4 linked regions of the Schizosaccharomyces pombe genome follow. The protein of the gene in region 3 binds, or shares a complex with, the protein of the main gene of each other region. Each region holds a gene or a part of one and is shown on either strand. Other genes may lie near its edges.

What was found.
Region 1: img1 (region 3) and mrpl16 share a complex: the UniProt entries of both Schizosaccharomyces pombe proteins name them as parts of the mitochondrial large ribosomal subunit.
Region 2: img1 (region 3) and mrpl39 share a complex: the UniProt entries of both Schizosaccharomyces pombe proteins name them as parts of the mitochondrial large ribosomal subunit.
Region 4: img1 (region 3) and mrpl37 share a complex: the UniProt entries of both Schizosaccharomyces pombe proteins name them as parts of the mitochondrial large ribosomal subunit.

What each region holds. Positions count from the first base shown.
Region 1 is NC_003423.3:3,506,993-3,511,163, forward strand, and holds mrpl16 (mitochondrial 54S ribosomal protein uL16m), read right to left. Parts: upstream 2,142-4,171; 5' UTR 1,942-2,141; coding exon 1,294-1,941; 3' UTR 531-1,293; downstream 1-530. Other genes in the region: lys4 (homocitrate synthase), read right to left, coding at 1-315; protein tam12, read right to left, coding at 2,711-2,911; ARS-binding protein Cbp1, read right to left, coding at 3,779-4,171. UniProt on the Schizosaccharomyces pombe protein: Component of the mitochondrial ribosome (mitoribosome), a dedicated translation machinery responsible for the synthesis of mitochondrial genome-encoded proteins, including at least some of the essential transmembrane subunits of the mitochondrial respiratory chain.
Region 2 is NC_003423.3:2,700,170-2,703,687, reverse strand, and holds mrpl39 (mitochondrial ribosomal protein subunit bL33m), read left to right. Parts: upstream 1-1,936; 5' UTR 1,937-2,438; coding exon 2,439-2,461; exon of another isoform or gene 2,462-2,512; coding exon 2,513-2,614; exon of another isoform or gene 2,615-2,645; intron 2,646-2,672; coding exon 2,673-2,715; 3' UTR 2,716-2,953; downstream 2,954-3,518. Other genes in the region: ATP-dependent RNA helicase Mak5, read left to right, coding at 3,329-3,484. UniProt on the Schizosaccharomyces pombe protein: Component of the mitochondrial ribosome (mitoribosome), a dedicated translation machinery responsible for the synthesis of mitochondrial genome-encoded proteins, including at least some of the essential transmembrane subunits of the mitochondrial respiratory chain.
Region 3 is NC_003424.3:1,639,867-1,643,462, reverse strand, and holds img1 (mitochondrial 54S ribosomal protein bL19m), read right to left. Parts: upstream 1,769-3,596; 5' UTR 1,709-1,768; coding exon 1,160-1,708; 3' UTR 531-1,159; downstream 1-530. Other genes in the region: anaphase-promoting complex ubiquitin -protein ligase E3 subunit Apc11, read right to left, coding at 171-293, 337-355; erg8 (phosphomevalonate kinase), read left to right, coding at 2,578-2,585, 2,652-3,596. UniProt on the Schizosaccharomyces pombe protein: Component of the mitochondrial ribosome (mitoribosome), a dedicated translation machinery responsible for the synthesis of mitochondrial genome-encoded proteins, including at least some of the essential transmembrane subunits of the mitochondrial respiratory chain.
Region 4 is NC_003421.2:1,252,300-1,255,755, reverse strand, and holds mrpl37 (mitochondrial 54S ribosomal protein mL54), read right to left. Parts: upstream 1,439-3,456; 5' UTR 1,212-1,438; coding exon 792-1,211; 3' UTR 530-791; downstream 1-529. Other genes in the region: cca2 (ATP/CTP tRNA nucleotidyltransferase), read right to left, coding at 1-476. UniProt on the Schizosaccharomyces pombe protein: Component of the mitochondrial ribosome (mitoribosome), a dedicated translation machinery responsible for the synthesis of mitochondrial genome-encoded proteins, including at least some of the essential transmembrane subunits of the mitochondrial respiratory chain.

The sequences.
Region 1 (4,171 bases), on a different chromosome or scaffold from region 3:
GCGAATATGAGTTAAAATTTTACACTTTAAGCCCAATTTGCAAATAGCTTCGCAATCTTGGCGGGACTGCTCAGAAGCCACGGGAGAAGTCAATTCAATGTAATCGACACCAAAGTTGTCCAATGCCTTAGCAATTTGAATTTTCTTCTCGGTGTCGAAAAAAGCGTTTGCGAATTGCTCACCTTCACGAAGAGTAGACTCAATAATGGAAAAGTTATTGACACGTGAAAGAAAATCAGATGGGTTGGGACCATAAGGGTTTCCATTCATAGGAGGCTTGATGGTCTCAGTACCATTAGCTTCGGACACAGACATGTTGATGACTTTAAAATGCAAAAAAAGGAAAAGGAAAAGCGAATTTTCTAAAATGAATTAAGTATAAATATATAAATTATACAATTCAACAACTTATTGTCCCGAAACCTGTTAGCTTTGAATTTTTTAAGCTAAATCTTTTATCACTGTAGAGGAGACAACTAAGAGCAAGGATGCACGTATGTATGAATTTCAAAAAATTCGACCCTACCCTATTTATTTACTGAAAGAAACAGTCACTACCAACTCGTAGGCAACCGCGGTAATTTATGGTAGAAAATTGATTTACAGATCCCGATCGATCTTGATGAGATTTAATCAGATCTATGGTAGTAATGATTAAGTTACTGATCCACTCAACAGTGGATTGCTAAGCTAGGTTCTAGAAGGTATAGTGATTTTTTTTGTAAACGTTGTAAATATTTTAGTGGAGTTGATTTGAATAATTTCATTCGTAATTCCATAGTAAAATCAGTTTCATATTATTTAAAGTGTACTTTTTGATTCACTTCATGATTTCGCACATATACAACGTGCCGTTTTTTACATCCCGAAAAAAAGTCCCCAACGGAGCAGAGAGCAGCAAATAAGATTTTCGCCAAAAACACTCATTACCGTTACCAACTTTTCAGGACCAAAGAAATTTGATGTTTTAACGAAATTGCCGAGCCGTAATCAAAGTGAATCAAAAGTGGTTCATATTTCGCCAACAAAAATTAAGCAACTCTCTCATTGGGGATGAAAGTTCCCATTTCGAAAATAGATAATGAAACATAGCGCAAAATGTACAATGTTTTAAGGCATTTCTGGCAAATTTCATTCACTAAAACATAGAATAACTACAACGATTGAAAAGAAGCTCATGAATGTCTGTACAAAGATGCAGCATTAAGTTCACAAACTAAGTAAGTGAGAAGTATGACAGAAAAGTAATTATTGAATGGGTTAAAAATAGATAAATTCAGCTTAACTTTTCCCTTAAACAGCTGTAGTAGTACTGGTAATTTCCTGATAGTTCATTTTGCTTGTCTCGGTGGTAATGGGGGTTTCATGAATCAGTGTGGTACCCAATCTTTTGGGGGTTTGCTTGACGATAATCTCATACTTGCCTGGAAGGTGAAAAGCGGCTTGCTTCAATGCATGCTCAGCTAACTCTTTACGCATTCCATCACCACCAATTTCAAAAAGTACACGACCGATTGGTATCCGTGCAGCCCAGTATTCAAAAGCTCCTTTGCCTTTGCCCATACGAGTTTCATTTCCTTTTACGCATACTGGCACATTGCAACAAAAACGTGTGTATACCCGAGCAGCCTTGATAGGTTTTAATATACGCTTGAGAATCTGTTCGGCAGTTTCGAGTTGCTTGGCATGAAATCTTATACTTCGATCTTTTAATCGCATACCATATTCTCCCCATTCAAGTTGAGTACCACGTAGTGAACCTCCTATGGGTATAGGGACTCTTCCTTTCTGAGCTTTTTGGTTTCTGATGCTTCTGGGTGCATACTGGTGTCCCCAACGAACCATCGTTTGGATAGGCGGCATTTGTAAACCATTCAACCTCGTAGGTCCTAAAATACCAGAAAAAAAGAAAGGAAATTTATTGTATTGTTGTAAAGCCATATTATATAAGTTTTTATGTTGTGAGGGTTTCAAAAAGTCATAAAACAACGTGTTTTTATTATCATGCAAAAGTCGTTCTTTAAAGTTACTCAGAAATATTCAAAATAATCAAATTTAAGTATTATATTTCTTTTTTTATGGGAAAATGGTAACAATAGTAACGATAATAGGCCTGCTATTTTTTGTATGAGAAGGGGGTTAAAGGATACTTGGATTCTGTATGTGTTGCTGCCACTTATCCTAACTAAGTTCCGGGAAGAAGCCGGACAATAACTGAACATTAGCTATAATTATTTATTTGTTTGTTTATTAGTTTGTAAAAAAAAAAAAAAAAATTATCTTAAGCATTAGGCAAAAAAGATTATTTTCATAGATACTGAATTTAACGTGCGTTTTATGCTCAACACATTATTTGATTCAGCATCATCATTTCAATGACAACAATGCGTGAATAGAAATAAAACAGTGACTATTTTAGCTATTTCAAATAATATACTTAGCTCATTTCTTGTCAAGGAATTCTTGTCCTTGAAGAATAACAAAACGTTCAACTGTTTAGTGCCTCAGTATTGGTATTTGGAATGTTAAGACTGTCTTAAAAAAATCTTCTGATGTACGTTTATAAACCATTAGAAGGATCCTCTATCGAGCTAAACATTATTGTATGGACAATCGAACGTAAGAATGCCAAGCGCAACTCTTTTGTCCCCTGTAGCAAGAACTTGCTCACATCATGATTATAAAAAAAACAAAAAATGGGATTAGGAAATTATGAAGGATCTGCTAAAATCTTGCGCATTGATCTACGTATCGCGGGAAAAGAAGAATTGTTCTGCAAAGCGTGAATAGCCTGATATTCCCAGTTTTCTAACGTCTTTTGAGCAGCTTCCTTCTTTAATGAATTTGTATATGATTGGGATAAAGACGCTGTTCTCGTAGAAAACGTCGACGAAGAACTAGTTGTTGACATACTTTAATAAATATTCCGAATGGACACAACCTTGAAGACTTGCCAATTCGAATTTCTCTGATTTTACTGATTCTTGCTGTAAAAAGTCTTAAAAAATTCCAATAAGCTATAACACGCTTGATTGTTCAAGCAAAGGATTTGAGTTATTTGTAGAAATAGAAATGTGCTTACTCGCCATAGTTATGAACATCGCCATGTTAGTCTAGGTCTCGAAGAGAAATCGTTATTTCATGTTACGTATAACATCAAAGTTCGTTATTGATTATTTCTTATATCATTACATCATATACCTTTGTAATGCTTAACTGTAAAGTAAGCTTATTTACAGTACGAAGCAGTTAGCAAAAGAGAAGTACATTTTTATAAAATCAATCATGCGTAAATGGATTAAATTCGGGTTTCACAGTAATAATTTATCATTTTTTGAAGCTCTAACCCCTACGGTTCAACTATTTACAATCTAATCTCGACCTTAAAAAAACAAATATGCCTCAATAAAAAAAAAAAATTTCTTACATTTAGCCGGTTTTTATTTTTAAAGATAAATAGTATCAATATTAAAAGCACTTGATTGCGAGACATGAATTACAAAATGTATAATATTCAATTTCATTAGCTCGTATAGCGATTTTGCGTTTAAGAAACTTCGAAAAGGTTTTTTTAAAAAAATTAAAATAAAAACAAAGAAAAATCAAATAAGCTCATCAGTTGCAATCGGGTATTAAAAATAGAGCAACAAGTTAAAATGAAGGAATAAAAGCAAATTACTCATTAGGTAAGGGATCCAAACTCAACAAAAAGAAAATTAAAACTACTAAAATACAAACCAAAAACAAAAAAGTCAAATATGCACAACGAATACAGACATTAGGTGCTTCTCAAACGAGAAAGATTCACGTTACCACCCCTTGCCTCAAGGAGCTTCTGATAATTTAATAGACTAATCGTGATTGCAGGATTTCCATCGGGTTGTTGAGCTTCATAGTTTAGCAAAAGCTCGATCGCCTTCATAGCGTCTTTAGTGGTAATCTGGAATTCAGTAGATTCTTCTTCGTCCGTCTCGAAAGCGCGATCATCCATGTACTGCGAAGCAATTTGATTGATTATATCCTCAGAGGAATCAACAATATTCTCTTCTGAAGGACTTATAAAATCCTCTATACGCATAGCAGCTTGAACAGAAAACTCTGAGACGAGCTCACGAAGTGGATGAATCATTTCATCCAAGGCACGCGAGGTAACGGCAGATTCATTGAATAG
Region 2 (3,518 bases), on a different chromosome or scaffold from region 3:
TACTCAGCTCAAAAAATAACAAAATAATGCGACGGAAGGAGAGCACAGTGTGAGATCTGATAGCACAAACTGGTAAAAGTCGGTTTATCAATTTGACCTGTACTACCCATCGCATGATCTTAAATTACGCCTTTTCATGCACAAAAATGGAAAATCTTTCAAGAAAGGAAAATTTACTCTAACAGACGATATTGTCTCACTATCCCATGTTTGTATTATGTGCAGACTAATTAACTTAACGTTCTTTTTAAACTACGTTATACTTGCTTATAGGAGACAACGTGCTTAACTGAAATGTTAACAGTTGCATACTTAGACTTATCTTGGATAGTGAGTTTGGCCCCTTTACCCTATATGCCAAAAGATGACCCAGGGGGTTAATATTAAGGCCTAAAAGGTAGGAGGAAGCAAGAAATGGTAAAATGGCACGTGCCAAGCCAAACAAGAAGAGATGATAGACACGCAGCTAAAGAACATAGCAAGCTTAAAGAACAAATAACAAAGCATTTTGGTTGGGAAATTGATCAGTTGAAGAAAGTTATTAAAGTTAATGATTATTATAGATTTACTAGTAAATACATAAAAACCAAGGAAAAGATAAGAAAATAAAATAAAATATAAATAATAATTAACGATAATTATATGTATATATAAGAGGATAATAATTTTATATATACACAGCAAATCCATCCTATATTTAACATAGTATTCCTCTATTAAGTGCGAATATTCTTTTACTTAATTCAGCCTTTGCTTATTTAATGCGAGTTGTCTCAGCCCTTAGTACAATGTCAAATCCTCTTTAAAAGATAGTTATTAAACCTTTTGTTATTCTAATGACAACTGTAACATATCCTTGACTTGTTTACTATCCCTGCTGTAATTTCCAACTCAATTTTTATTCTACATATATAAAGCATCAGTTAAAGATATTTTCGTTGCTTCTCTCCATCATTTTCACAACCAGGAAAAATGTTTATTTTAAAATTTCCCATACTATTGACCATGTAGAACCGTAATAACAATCGTAAACATTGCACTTAATGAGCTTTAAATACTCTCTCAATTCTTTCATTCAGTCTCCATATCCGAGGGATGTAGCCTTCTCCAGTCTATTCTATATCCGTCTTTGGGTGCGGCTATACTTGCGTTGTATAGATTTTCTCCGTATGCATCGTGATATGTCTCAATTTCGCGGATGAGATACGGACTTGGGATTTCGGGCAGATCGTCATACAATGTCACTAGCTTCCGCAATTCATGCGATTTGTTCATTTGCATTCTTTATTTGGCTAACCCTTGTAAAATTGGGAAAACACATTTTATATTCTCTTTGGACCCATAAACACTTAAAGTGACTTGTAACTCATCCATCCTAGTCTTGGTACAGCAAATGAATTAGGTTTGCTTACAACTTGAGGATCGTCTTATACTTTCAGTATTGCCAATAATTTACAGTTACAATGATACTTAAAGCTTGCGTTTGTTTAGAGCCGAATATATATATATATATACACGAAAGGCTTTTTAGAACCACCTCGTCATAAATGTTTCTTTACTAGGCTCGCTAATTTCCATCTGTGTTTTTTTTTCACGCTAGCAAACTATGCTATTGCAATTAGTTCATTCTTAACGTCCTAATTCATCTAGTACATGTCATTTTAACTAAAAGAATTTTTCCTGAAAGAAAATTGGTTCTTTCATTTGAATATCATTCTTTCCAAAAAAAATGTAGAAATACAAATAAGATTATAAATTGGCAAAGACGCGATTGGACTTTAATTAAATACCCATCTACAGCCAATAATTAAAAAACAATAATAATTGTAATAAAAAAAAAGAATTTTTCAAGAGTTGTTCATCACTTCATATTTTTTCTTCGAATGTTAATAGAACAGCAACTTCTATTTATAAGATTACTTATAGTTTGTTAATTATTCCTCTCTGTTAAATTGGCAGACATCAGGAGAAGAGACGCAGCAGACTCAATTTGTTATACTTTCCTTATTAACATTTTTTTATTTTTTATTTTATTTTATTTTTATTCAAAAATTCTTTCTAATTTTTTTATTCTTACTGTTCGTCTTTCGTTCTTAAGTGCCGTCATGCATGTTTCTCAATTAGAATTTCAAATCTAAATGCTTTTTTTCAAAACAAGTAATTCATTGATGAGCCTTTTATCTTTACTAATAGTTCTATAGTCTACCTAAAACAAAAAAATAACCTATTGAAAAGCCTCGATTGTACACAACCAAATTTAATAAAAATTGGATTGCAAAAAGGCTTTCTCATTACTCAAAACAATATCTTTGAATTGCAAACTTTCAATTTTACATTTCTGACTGCAAGTTATCCATCAAGTTAAAAGAGCTCGCCCACAAACCCTGGTGTAACTACAAAACCTTTAACTTACCGCTTGCACTGTACGTATATCCAGAATGGCTAAAAAGAATAAAGCTCGGTAAGACATACATGCTTAATTTAATGCGCATTTTTAACATTTATTTTTCAGTTTGCTTGTAAAATTATTGTCCACCGCTGGCACTGGATTTTTCTACGTTCGTTCACGTCCAAAAGCTGCTCCTAAGCTTGCTTTTATAAAATATGATCCCAAGTAAGTTATTATGGATTTTCTAAAGCCTCATTTAAGAAGCTAATGAATGAACCCATAGAATTCACAAAAGAGTACTTTTCGAAGAATCCAAAATGAAATAAAAACTTCTTCCATTTCAATGATAGTCTGAAAATGAAATGCTAAATTATGACCGATCAATCTACCTTTTTTCTTCAAAAACTTTATGGATGTGCATTAATTATGTATTAGCTTCCCAACCTACATCTTATACGACATAATTCTAAACAGCTGCGTGAACATAAAGACCCTTATATTATTCTGTCATATCTATAATTCCTATTTTTATTATTATTATTTAAGAGAAGGACTGAGATGTCAAATTTTCAAAGTAATAAGAATGTTCCTTTCACCTGTACCAATTGCTAGCCGAATTAGAACTATAGTAGTAACATCGTTTGTGTTTACTACTCTTGTAAGCACTGTAGCTCAGATCATTCGATTCTAAAATTCTCAAGCAATATTTTTAATACAAAATGGTTGTACTATTTAGAAATTATGCAAAACATGGCAAAGCATTGAATTGCTAAAACCAATCGTCGTTTAATGTCTTCGTAACATTTAATTATTTGTTTTCTATTAGCTTATACGATGCAATTATTTTTATTCCCTCGTTCCAATTCTTAGTGTAAATTTTTGTCTACCTACATTTTCTATGTGGAGCAAACTACTACACTTTTCAACGCTTTGATCACGATGCCAAAGAAAGCTGCATTGGACGAGCTTAAATGGAAGGAAGTCAAGCTTCCTGACCACCTAGACGACTTCGATGGGTTTATGGGCTTGGAAGAGATTGAAGGTGTGGATATCAAATATCAGCCAAAAGGTGCTATGAAAGAAGTAATTTATGAGGTATAATTGTTTATTATCTAATTTATTAACAAAC
Region 3 (3,596 bases):
ATAAACTCTTTTTAACAAAAACAAAGTATGAATATTAGATTAAAGATTATTTGAACACAACCAACCCAATTGCGCAACAAATTTTCATGCTGATACCCCCTTAGGATGCAAAGTATACAAGTAAGCCTCCGCAGAGCATATTCAGGAAATAAATACAAACATATTCTTACCTATGGGGCAATTGTCTCCAGGACTTGTGCATTGAGGGCAGCATCCATCGAATGGAACACGACATATACCACAAACGTCGTCTTTTGGGGTATCCCACGTCCAGTTAGCAATTGCATGGTATCCTAGTGGTTAGAAAACAATTTTATTTCCAAAATATTCGCTTACTCAGTATTTTCACCTTCATAGTCTTTGTATATTGTATTTGAGATCTAATTAAATAAACATTAGTGTTTTTTGCTAGCTAATGTTTTACGTTCTACCACGGTATTAAGAAAACAATTCAGGCGAAAAACAAAATGTCGTAAGAAGAGAAGAGTTAGTAGATTTACAGTTGATATTTGGCTTTAGCTATACATCTTTTCGTTTTCTGAAAGTTTAAAATTTCTAACTAAAACTAATTTTCATTGGACTGTAACAAGCCGGCTACATTCGACATGCTAACAAAATTTTTATATTTATGATACTTTGCTTCTTTAGCTTATAACATATTGTTGAGCTCAAGTTTTATACTTTTTTACATGAATAATTTCAAATATTATTCAAAATAATCAAAGCGCAGAATTATGAAGAGGCAAGCCTACATACAGCTCAAATTTATAAGAAAAAAGTAGAGGTTTTGATTCATAGTGCCTCACAAATTCATCTGGGAAAATTAATGGCAATGACATGTGACTTGTCGATTCAAAGAATGAGAAGGGGGTAAAAGGCTCAAAGGAGGTGATTCATTGCCGTTTCATGGAATCGATAATACGTGTTTTGACAAACAGGCTAAAGCCGAAATATACATCCAAATCTCTAAATCTGTTCCAGAAAACCAACCAACGCCTCTTATAATGCAGTTCTAAATGCAATAGCCTGTAGAAAAAGACAAGTAGATAGGGAAACATAGAGTGTAAACGAACTATAAATCATACAGCGCTTCTTGAATAAAATCATGAAAGATTCGCAAAAAAAAAGAAATTTACTTGCAGAAGTTGCAATGATTGTGTCAAGGTTTATGTTGATTTTGTTCAATGTATTTTCGCACCAGTGATTCAACAGGTGGAAGACGAAAGCGAGGTTGACGCAAGTAACTTAAGTATGCTCTTCTAGGTCTTTTAGATAGACCATTTTCTTTGAGGACAACAATACGTTTAATTTGTGGAGAGTAAATTGGTAACAAATATTCGACTCCAACACCCATTACCACGTTTCGTAACAGGATTGAACTTTTTGGTCCACGATGCCGAATTCGCAGTAGATAACCAGCAAATCTGTTGACTGAATCTTTTGATGGGTATTTTGAGTAGCTTTCAACCAGTAAAACCGCGCCTGGTCTTACTCGATTTGGCTGCGAGCGATGAAACATTTTGAATCGCTCAGATTGCTCATCCAATACTGAACGGCACTTTTTTTCGAATAATGATAACACATCTTTGTGCTTTGGACCTGGTACTGGCTTTGGAAAGTTATAAGGCCGTTTTAACGATCCAATACCTCTCTTTTGTAGCCATTGAAAGCCCAATCCTAAATTGAAAAAGTGTTTGGCATTAAACATGTCTTCCAAAAGTCATTAAATACCGTTCGTTAGTAAGAATGACAAAACACTATATTCTACAGAGTATCTTTTTAAGTAAGTACGATGGTATTCAAAATGAATTAGCAAATTCTGCACAACGTATTTCGTTATATGTTATTTATTGTCAACCTTCCATTACGCTATATTAGACTATGTAAGTTAATACAGTTGATTATATATTTTTATATGATTTATCCATCAAGGATTGTGTTTCTGACCTTGAATGTTCAAGGCAATAGAAAGATTCCTGTTGAACCCGAATGAATATACGTGTTCCAATTCAGTTACATGGCTTCTCATTGTAGTTATAATACTATCAATAACTCGCTGGTATTCAGAAAACTTCAATAGCAAGATTTGCTTTTTTCTTTCCACCTTAATGTTCCATTTTCGTAAAAGATATTATTTTATATGCAATCAATTATATACTCTAATATGAATATGCGTTAATGTAATCTCTGTATTCCTGATTTCGAACTCTCCTTAATTAACGTTAATTTTCTATACTATTTTCTCCACAAGCAAATCTTGCGAAACGAACGATACGATAATGATTTAGAAAGTTGATTTACTCAAAGCAACTTTAGTTTCTGTATAACATTTGATACTCTTTGATCAGTTCTTTTTTTATTTTTTTTGATTTTTAGAATAACACTTTTCAGGAGCTACTGTTCGAAGATAATCCTCTCTTTTACTTTGACTGATATATCATTTCTCTAAATTCAACAGATTATCACGTAAGATAGAAGTCATACATTCCTTTCTATTTCCTTCTCAGGTCCTATAAAAAAGTTACGACACACAAAACATTATAGAGATATCCATATTCAAGACAAAAATATATCAACATGAAAGTGTAAGTTGAAACCAGTCTTTTTTCTTTTTTTCTGTTTTGTCCATCTCTAACTAGCGTCTTTGGCAGGACCTGCTCTGCTCCTGGTAAAGTACTTATAGCTGGTGGATACATTGTTTTAGATCCTCAATACAGCGGGCTTGTTATTGGTTTAACTGCCAAAGGGTACGCTTCCACAACGACTTTGGACGATAAATGTGGAACGGTTCGTGTGAAAAGCCCTCAATTCATTAACGCTGAATGGCTTTATAATATTGATTGGACTGTATCTCCTATTCGAGTTCATCAGATATATGAAAACTGTGAATTGGAAAAAAATCCAAACCCCTTCGTTCAACTGGCACTTTTTTATGTAATTAACTACTTTTTTTCCACGGGGCGACAACCTTTATGCTGGCAAGATCTTCAAGTTACATTGCAGGTAGATAATGCCTATTATCACCAACCACAGTTAAAGCCTGATCAAACAAGCTATCCAAAATTCAATTTCTTAAACTGTACTTTAGGTCAAGTACATAAGACTGGTTTAGGAAGCTCGGCAGCTATGATTACAAGTCTTATAGGTTCATTATTTTTAAGTCTTAGACGACTAACAGATGACACTGGTGACAAATCTCTCAAAATTGATGATTCAACCAAAGTCATAGTTCACAATCTGGCACAAATTGCCCACTGTTCTGCACAAGGAAAAGTAGGAAGTGGGTTTGATGTTGGCGCTGCCACTTGGGGAAGTTGTATTTATAGAAGGTTTGATCCTAAATTAATTGAACAACTGCTGGTCCCATACGACGAACAAATAAAGAACATAAATTTTTCCACCGAACTGAGAAAAATAGTTTCTAAAAAATGGTCAGATGTTGTTCCATTTCAATTGCCTGCTACTTATTGTTTGCTAATGGGGGACGTAGCTGGTGGCAGTAGCACACCGGGTATGGTAAAAAAAGTACAGCAATGGCAAAAGGAAAATCCAGAGGAATCTAAGAATTGCTTTGATGATTTGTATTCAAGAGTGCT
Region 4 (3,456 bases), on a different chromosome or scaffold from region 3:
CGTATGTTAAAGAATAGGGTGTTAACCGTGAAGTCTCTTCTCAATGCATCTGTTTCAACAGTTCCTGGGGTAACGCTAGGAATTCGACTTTTATCATCATATGATTCTGCACGAAGTCCTACAAAATCAATATCAAGGTCAAATAGGGATAAGGTAGCAGTTTCTAAATGCTTGCTTTGATCGGGATTGACAGTTAGCTTGCCAAGTGCGTCTTTATATGGAATAACTGAGTCAGAGTCGAGAGAGTGAACATACTCAAATATTGAATTTGCAAAGTCAACACCGGTAACTTTATTCAACGTAACGTCTAAATCGTCACTAGAAAGCCCAAGAAGTTTATCGCGAACCCATCCTCCTGCCAATCTAACTTCCAATGACGAACTGCTGCTGGATTTAGATTCAATAAAATCAGCAGTCTTTTTCAAAAGATTAACAACTTTTTTCTCAACATCGTTCAATACAATTCTAGAATACATTTTCGTCAGCCAAATTCCATAAACGATACACAGTTTGGGCAATACCGGTTTCTCTAAGGTTGGCAGGTTGAGGTTTGAATATGCTTCTCTTAAAGAAGGACATGTAGTAGTAATTTTTTTTATGCTACAAATGTATATCACTGATATAAGGTTATTTAATATATTTTTATTTTAAAATGATTTTTGGATTCTGGGAAATGGTAAAGTAGCGAATGTCATATGCCTCAAAAAAAGTAAACAAAAAGAATGGATCAAATGCTCATAAGGATAGAGAGGAGATGGAAAATTAAGAGTTTCAAACATTCTAAAAGGTAATTATTTTTTAGTAAGAAAGTTAGCCGCTCGAATGGCACTTTTACGAGCATGACTTCGGGCAGTCTTAGAATTGGGAGCTGGCTCATCCAGAAGAGACCATAACCATTCTGGATATTCATGATCTTCACGAGCTACAGGGTCGACGCCACCCGCCTTTATACACAGTCCCTTTAATATAGTACCTGGAAGGACAGAACTAGTGTGCGTTTTATTAGCGACTTTTTGAGCTGAAGAAGTGGCATCCGAATTATGCTGTGGCTTTTTGGGTGAAACACGAGAGGATACATAACTTCGTTTAACTAATGATGAAGAAGAGTTACGGGAACTTCTTAAAACCAATGTGTTAGAGTAGCATGAGAATTGAGAGATACCGCGAGTAATTGCGCGCGATAAAGGGGCCATTGACTCGATAAATGGCATTGCTTAGACAGTAAACAAAAAACTTTGCAAGGAGGATAAAATCTTTAACCAAAAGTGGATCAAAGGCGATGAAAAAGGTCAATAGTAACGCCTTCGCATATATAAGGAGCAAATACGTCCTGCTCTTTGAGTGAAAAGTTTTAGAGAATAATATTATTTCAAGTACTATAGGAAATAAAAAATGACTCTATAAAGAGCCGCTTTCAAAGTTCAAGGAGTTTGGTTATGGGACAACCTGGACGTTACTATACAACTCATGTACAGATGGGTAGCAGACACAGGTACATGTAAGGGTTTCAAGCGTCTGTTTACAATTTGGGAATCAAAATAAAATTTTTGTTTTTGTTTTTTTCATAATTATAAACTATTGCTAAGTTCAAATGGGGTGTCGTTCTAACAAGAATGTCATTAAGTTTACAATAATAATACCAAGCACGCTTGAGTACTATAGGAATACTTATGAAATAAAGTAAAGCACAATCTATCAAGTGAGACTCTAGAAATGTTAATCGAAAATTGTATTTGTCTGTGTTCGACTATGTAAGAAAGTCAAAGAAATAAAATAATATGATTTATTTTTACAATAAATCATTAGCACATTAGAATATTTCTACTTCATTCATTTTTCTCAACTTGCAATGTTTCTTCGACAATCACTTGATTGTTGTAAATGGTAAAGAACCATTAGGTGTTATTTGGGATATTGAGGAACAATCTAGTAGTACGGTTTAAATAAAGAGAACATATATAGATTTTAGAATTAGTATTCAATTATGTTTAACGTTATGTCCTTCATTCGATACGTCAGAATTACCATTTTTTTTACTTGCGAAATGTACTTATTCCACACAGTTAGCGACTGATCCATTGAGGATCGAGAAGCGCTTGCAATCACTTTTTGTTAAAGAAAAATAGATTTACAATAAATTTGACAAATTGTACTAGTCGGTGTCTTAAGTCACTCGGGACAATTGAAAAAAATAAATCACTGACTTGCGAACTCTTCTTAGTTAATAGTTACACCTTTATGGGTGTTTTCTTAAAATTTCGCCAAGTTTTACTTTAGATAGAACATAAATCATTTAAAGTATTATCCATCTCATGAAAACAATAAAAAATCTGCAAGAAGATCAATAAACAAGCTTTAACCATCAGGTTATTCTCTTACTAGAATTTCATTATTTGCCTCGATAAATTCCTATAACATATTTCTCTAAGGCTCTTCGATATTCATTTTACAAATAAAAAAAATCATGCCGACAACGGCAGGATTCGAACCTGCGCTCCCAAAGGGAATCCGCTGGGCTACAGAATAGCAGGCGAACGCCTTAAAACCACTCGGCCACGTTGTCCTCCGTTGAGACGATTAGTATTAAGTAGATTATGTATTTAAATTTAATAAATTTATAAGAGATTATTTAGTGTACCGAAATAGTTTTAAATTCATTTATTTAGTATATTTTTGCTTATAACATTTCCGGTTCATTTTGGAAACGATTTAAATAAAGAAATTTTACAATTTTGTAAAAATGTATGCTTTCAATGTACAATTACGATTTTCCCTATTTTGCTTTTCTTACACTGAAGGAAATGCTTGTGATTTCCTCGATCAATATTTGATATCCTATTTTTTTCCCTCATTTATTTTCTGGGGGTTTTTTTTTCTTTCATCCTGTAGAGAAATTGTATATACTTTCTGTTTATTTCTATATTACTATAAGATGGGGATTTAGTTTTAAATAGTAATGAACCAAATTAAATTACATTGAACTTATCAATAGTATTATGCTTTGTGCTTCTGCGATTTATTTTTTTTATTTTTTAAAATTATTTTAATTTATTTTTGATGATTCGGGATTGCTTGTTAAAATATTCTCTTGTCAGCTTTCTACATAGTGCCATTTAAATATAGGTAAAAGATATTGCAATTGAAATCAACATATCTCCTAGCACAATATTAACCATTTGCGAATCCATTTAATAAATAATGCCTATTCCTACCATATGCATTAAAAAAAAAAAAAAAAAAAAAAAAAAAACACTTTGAATATTTATTTAAGCAAAAAGTATAATGTTTAATAAATGGTTCCATGAGATTTGATAAACTGTTCATTTGATGGTGTTTGACCTTTATATACTGCTTTAAATACACGTTGGAATTATCACAAAGAACAAGAACTTGTTCAGAGCTAGGATTCGAAAATAGAAATAAGTATATTTACACTGAATAAGTTTACTAAATATA